Linked DNA regions of Coturnix japonica. The protein of the gene in region 2 interacts with the protein of the main gene of each other region in a biochemical or structural test. Links are inferred from orthologs where the notes say so. Each region holds a gene or a part of one and is shown on either strand. Other genes may lie near its edges.

Region 1 (2,836 bases), on a different chromosome or scaffold from region 2:
GGGTCTATAAAAGGGCTTATTACACAGTGTAAACGATTTCTTTTTGTTAAGCAAATATTTGCAATATATTTTGGGAGATAGAGCATTCGAAGTGAAAAAGCATGATACCTGCCAAGGATGTGAGAAACACATAAAGGGTACCTTAAAATGGGCTTAAACTGGGAGAACATGGGATGGTTTTAGAATCTTGATCTATGAGGAAACCAGTCTGAGGCCCTTTCAGCTCAAGCTTTAAAGCTTCCGACACCTCACTTAATCTAGGAAGCCTTTCACAAGCTCTCTTTGCTTCAGCAGTTCCACTAGTTCTTTTTGCAGAAGCCAAGCAACTGAGGAACAGAGGCAAACATCCTGATACAGGACTTTCCTACAGGGCAGTTTATTTTACAAAGGCCTGAATCAACTAATAATGCCCAGTTATGGAGAGTACGTATCTAGCTGGGTGGATGACTGCTCTCAGCTGGTGTCATAATTTCTGCATCATTCCTTTGGCTTGAATAAAGGTTGCAAGGAAAGTAATAGTTTAAACTATTTTGCTTAAGAGTAGCAGATCAATGCTATTCAACATCTAACTTGTGAACTTGTCTCTGTGCTGTGGTATTGTCAGGAGGCCCAATTTGTTGGCTCGTAGTTTTATAAACAGTGAGAATACTGGAAATTAGGTCACGTTTTGTATAAACTTTTATTTCAATAGTTTAAAGAATAAGCCATGTAAAACATCTGGAAATCACAGGAACATGAGGCATATATAATAGCAATATCTTAAATATGCATTAGTAATACAAAGTCATCTTTCACTCTGATAAAAGTTACAACTGTGTTTTTCTACAATACATTTAAGTCATGAAGTATGCTTAGATAATACATATATACAACATTTGTCATTCTTTCCTGTAAGTGATGCTGCTAAAATATGAAAAACAAAATTAATCTGAAACTCTTGTGGTTTATGTGCAGTTGTGAAGCAATGTGCTACACCTTGCAGGCTGGATTATACCTACAGAGCTGTCAGCAAGCAATTTACATACATCATGGGTATGTGCAGAATTGTGCATGCAAGTGACAGATCACAGTTTTAAGACTGTGTGCTCACAGATTCCCACAGCTGCTCAACAATACTCAACAACTGATGTAGTTATAAATCAACAGGTCTGGAGTTATTTCTAGGATGCCTTTACCTGTCGTCTAACTAAACTAAGACCTGCTTTTCATCACAACCCCTGCTCATCAGTGTGCTGCTGTGCTTTCAGTGGTGATTTGGTGAAATGTTTCTATCCTGTTACAGAACGTGTGGATTGATAATTGTATTTCTGATCAGCTACAACTGCTTTATTCTCATCTCCAAAGCAAGCATTTCTCTTTCTATTTCATAGGGAAGGTCAGCATTAACTTGCCCTTCAAAGTACTGTTTGATTTCTTCCACCTCCTTTTCCCAGAACTCTTTGGAGATATTAAACAGTTCAGTTAAGTTGATGTCTTCTAAGCCCTTCAAGTTCAAAGCAGTGTCAGCAGGGATGTAACCTATGGCAGTTGTCTTGGCAGAGGCTTTCCCTTGAATTCTGTTGAACATCCACTCCAGCACACGGGAATTCTCTCCATAGCCAGGCCACAGGAATTTCCCTTGGCTGTCTTTCCGGAACCAATTAACATGAAAGATCCTTGGTAGTTTTGCTGCCGGGCGGTGTGCCATGCTAAGCCAGTGTGCTAAGTACTTGCCAAAATTGTAGCCAAAAAAAGGTCTCATGGCAAATGGATCGTGCATAATAATTTTTCCTGTTCAAAACACAAATGGAAAACATTTAAAGCACAAAGTTTCAGTTCCTCCCAGTATTTATTACCCAGCACCCTTAGCCACCTTTCTGCATATGAACCACAGAACTTTGAGAAACAGTACAAACATTAGCCTTGAAGTACAAATTAGTTTAATCTTTGCAATCACTGGAAAGTAAATGTCTTAAATCTCAGGTCAAACAGTTTAAGGTTCTCGAGAGCTGCCCTTCGTTATTGGGTTATTTTTGCTGAGCATTAGCAGAACAGAAAATTAAAGTTTACTTAGCCCAGGCTGTAACAACTCCATATCAACTCTTCTGGCAGCACCATGATTGCACTCTGTTCTGTACGCTTGCCACCTAGGGGATTATTTTGCATAATTTGTCTTTTCAGGAAAATCTGGCTGTTAATTCCAGTATAAATATTTTCTGTTGTAAAAATGCATAGGTTGCAAAATCAGCTGCCAAGATTTAAGTGTGAAAGAGCAGAGGGGGAGGACAGAGCAGGCTCTGCAGAGAAAGTAGCTTGTAACACAGATAGGCAGACTAGATTTTGATTTACCTTTGTGCTCAGCAGCTGCTGTTGCTTCAGATCTCATAGCTGCTCCTATAAATACTCCATGCTGCCAGTTAAAGGCCTCGTATACAAGAGGCACACCTGTAAAGAACAAAGTCACTTCAGTAATTAACGATTCAGAAGCATTTTTATGACAGGTTTTGCTAACTGAGATATTGCTGTATCCCAGTTACTGTGTAATTTATTCTAATTTTTCTTGTTGATTTTTAACTTGGTTAATTTCCTGCCTTCTTAGAGCAATTCATATGAATGTTTTCAAAACTGGCTAATCATTATTGAACACATCAGCTGGGAGATATCTGAATTCCCAACAGATTTCATTGGAAGCAGATTCTGGTCCCATGGTCATGTTTGTGGTATTAGATTCAGGCCTAGCATTACTTCTGATTTTTTCAGCTCTAGGTGGTCTTTAACAGAACAATTCATTTAACTTCTTTATCTGTAGACTGCCTACAACTGGTTTAAATCTTGAATCATTTCCTATCTGAACTAG
Region 2 (3,830 bases):
AGCGACAAAGCTGAAAAATATTTGCTGTCATTTAAAATTAATAGAGATACAAAGAGCTTGCCTTTTAGAATGAGTAAAAATAGTTCAGTATTCCCAAGTATTGAATTCCTATAAATCTTTAAGACAGTAATAAAAATGTCATCTCATCACCTTTGGCGGATTCAGAAACATTTTAGGTGCTAAATTTTAAGCTACTCATATCTGAGGAATGCAGATTTTAAAACAAGTTATCTGGACAATGCATAAAATTTTGCTTTCAAACTATTTTCATGACTCTGTTGAGCTCACCCTCTTCCTCTTTTGTTTCTTTGTTGCTGGTTGGAAAGCACACAGACACACAAGCATGCAGAATATTGCGATTTCCATCACATCTGTGGCCAAGGAACGTCTGCAGCACTTGTGGGTTCTGATCCAAGACAACTGCTTGTTCAAGATTCATCAGGTATTGTCTGCAAGCCTCAAAGTCACATCGGAGAATGTGCTGCATTAAGGTTTGTTTCTGTACTCAAAAGAATAGAGTAAGTTAAATGAAAATACAAAAACCACAGGCATATAAGTTTCATAGGTACATCCTGTCTTCCATTTTTTTAAGTAGCCCAAACAAAGGACATTCTCAGCAGGAATGTCTGAGAACACATATAATCTCAATTACAGCACTACTAAAAACGCAAAATGGGCACAGGAGTTAATAGCAAGGGCAGGTTCAAGCAGCAGAAGTTATCGTGACTTGCAAAAGCACACTTCTGGCTTCACAGATATGTTCTTAAGACAAATTACTTCCATTTAATTTAACATGGGAAAAGTGGTATGACTGGAAAAAATAAATAAGGGGTCAATAACTACCAAAATGCATCTTCCACTCTGCAACATCAATTTGTGCTTTCATGTTTCTATGATAATTTTCTGCTGAAATTAGTTTATGTGGTATAAACACAAACTAGTATCCAAACACAAAGTTGCCTGAAGCATAATTTCATAGAAGCAAGAGAAAAATAGCATATAATTCTGTATTACAGAAACTATTTTACCTCAACAGCCATAATAATAATTGCAGCTTTCTTTTTGATGGTTGAGTTAGCAGGAAGATTTGTTAAGGAATGAACACCCATTCCGAGACTACTAATAGGTGGAAGATCAAGCCAGTCAGGGTCTCGTATCCCACCCATACAGTCTTTTGCCATTGGGTAGATTGTACCATTTCCATCTCTGAGAATAATCGGAGATTCCTATGTTGGGGAAAAATATTTTAGAATTAAACTCCACAATTTACAAATATTACGCTTCACAAGAGGGTCCGTTTCATGCTTTATTGCCAACAGAGTCAACAGTTGACCCAGAACACTCATTTATGCCATTGTCTCCTATACTTACAAACAGGGCAGCAAAAGATAAATTCCCTTTTTTAAATGCCCAAGATTTGCTTAAAACAGTAAACATTATTTAGAGTACTTATTTAATGACAAGTGTTCACAGAGAAACATTACTAATGACAATACCTACATTACACTTTGATTACTTAAATACTCCCAAAAAAGCTGAATATGCTGAAATACAACAAAAATTCAGTCCCCTTACCAAGAGTTTCTTTCAACTACCCTAAACAAAACTGATCACTGAAAGACTTCACTATTGTTTTCTAAGATCAACTCATGTAATCAGCCACATAACCAGATACAATAGGATATTTAACAGATAGTTAAGAGTTGTACAAAATCTTAACGTATCATTTTTGTTAGATTTTTTGTTAACACTTTAATCTGAATATTACTGAACTTCCTCCTTAACATTTCTATCCATCTCACTTCCAAAACTTAGTTGAATAGAGAGTTTATGCTAACACAGCAGCCACTGTCAAGTTGCTTTTCTCCCTTCTTACTTTTTATTCAAATAATATAATTAAAAAGTGCTTAAAGCTTGTTGGACTGCTATACCACATATCCCTTCAAAATATTAGTGGTAGTACCAAGTTTTTCATAATCTACTCATTCAAAAGCTACTCTTCACCAGTATTTATAAAGGCCTTACAGAACAGACTATACCATTTCACTTAAAGATAACAGGAGTGAGATACAGTGAGGTTAAATGACTGAAATGCAGAAAACAAACCTGTCCAGCTGTAAAAATAGCAACACTTCTCTCATTCTGACCCAGGAATGCAATGCTGCTAGTAGGGAAATTGTTTTCCTGTTCAGCCTTTCCAGTAGCGAGGTCAAATATGCAGTATCGAACCCAATTCCCAGTTTTCAGGACTGCATGAACTCCTTCAGAGATGCATGAGAAAAAAATGTTAATGCCTTGACGGTATTCAGTAAGAACTCTTAACTACAGCATTTTTACTAAGGTCAATGAAAACAACTATTTAACTGAGTCTGACAGCAACAGTTTCCCACTAAGGAGAAGGGCAGTGAAGGACATAATGGAGTATATTTAAGTGTTAAGTCCTACTTACCTTTTGAATCTACATTTACTGCTAGAATCTCTGTTTTTTCAGGAATACACAGCTTCTTGGGTGTCCTTTGAAAACAGTCCGGAACTTTCGGAGTTCCCCCAGTCTTTACGACCTAAAAGCATCCACAAAACGATAAGATGCAGTAAAATACACACTGTTCATATTTCATAACACTTCATTTTTTCAGTATGTCTCAAATACGCACCTGTAGTTCATCTATCCTGAGCAGCCTGCAATCCTGGAGAAGAGAGGAAGGATCTGGATCTGAATTAGAACTGCTCTGACAATTTGCATTACTGGAGGTGCCTGGAAATTTGACAGCAACATAAGCACCATCCACTTTTAGCACCTACAAGCAGAAAACATAACAGTTTTATAATAAACTTTTTAATTTTTAATATAATAAAAGCTTTGAATAGACACTGTTTAGCCTAACCTTCTTCAAAGTAAACCAGACCTTTGTTAGGAAAACAAAGAACTCGACCATTGGTGATCCTACAGCTCTTGGTCATTAGCCTGGATGTTCTGCTAAAGTTTCTGAACACTTTAGAACTATATTTCTTAATTATTACACAAGCAGGTTGAAGGCCCCTTCCCTTCAGCATTCCACCTCCAACAGAAACCAAAAGAACTGACTGAAGAAGTTGCCTACAAAGCAATAAAAACCTAACTGTAATAAGATTACCATCTTAGAGGTCCCCTGGAATAAAAAGTAATTTTCATACTTTCAAGATATCAAAAACAATAATAATCCAGGCATTTCCTTGCTTTTTCCCAATTTCTCTAGTTAAGTGTAACTTACCAAGTACACTAGAGAGAAGGATTTATTGATAATCATGAAGGTGTTAGAAGACTTCTACTATAAAGAGTATTACTGATAGTCACACCACTTGCTAGCTGCAAGAATGCTACCTTTGAACCTTTGAAAACTCAGATCTAGTCACAAGAATCCTGAACATTAATTCTGGTCTACGACATACAGACATTTGTACTCAGACTAACAAGACTGCTAACAAGCAATCCAAATCCTCAAAACGTGTGGATAACTTCTGTGGGCCTTCCCGTTTTTCTTGGTTTGGAAAAGCTTAGGAGTGAACTGCAGAGATGATTTAATTCCTGTACCAATTCGACAATTAGCTTATGTAAAGTAATTAAAAATCACTGGCAGATTTTAGACAAACCTTGCCAACAGGAACATTCTTAACGTCTTCCACAAACACAACTTCCCTCAGAGACCACTGCTCCTCATTCACTTTCTCCTCCTCCTTTGGAGCAGGAGTTGATCGTCGTCGCTCTGAGACAAGAAAAAGTAATCAGTGAAAAATGAAACTTGAAACATTTAATCACAGTGCCAAAAAGGCATCGTTCACCAAACTGTGTT

Evidence for each region.
Region 1: the proteins of UBR5 (region 2) and PCK1 form a complex in vitro, tested with the Homo sapiens proteins (2 studies listed by BioGRID, with this or other methods). The link is inferred for Coturnix japonica from reciprocal best matches to the Homo sapiens genes UBR5 and PCK1.

The regions. Positions count from the first base shown.
Region 1 is NC_029535.1:10,436,599-10,439,434, forward strand, and holds the end of PCK1 (phosphoenolpyruvate carboxykinase, cytosolic [GTP]), read right to left. Parts: intron 2,425-2,836; coding exon 2,329-2,424; intron 1,771-2,328; coding exon 1,316-1,770; 3' UTR 661-1,315; downstream 1-660. UniProt on the Homo sapiens protein: Cytosolic phosphoenolpyruvate carboxykinase that catalyzes the reversible decarboxylation and phosphorylation of oxaloacetate (OAA) and acts as the rate-limiting enzyme in gluconeogenesis.
Region 2 is NC_029517.1:117,665,084-117,668,913, reverse strand, and holds part of UBR5 (E3 ubiquitin-protein ligase UBR5), read right to left. Parts: intron 3,744-3,830; coding exon 3,631-3,743; intron 2,799-3,630; coding exon 2,655-2,798; intron 2,562-2,654; coding exon 2,450-2,561; intron 2,262-2,449; coding exon 2,107-2,261; intron 1,227-2,106; coding exon 1,029-1,226; intron 500-1,028; coding exon 289-499; intron 1-288. UniProt on the Homo sapiens protein: E3 ubiquitin-protein ligase involved in different protein quality control pathways in the cytoplasm and nucleus. Mainly acts as a ubiquitin chain elongator that extends pre-ubiquitinated substrates.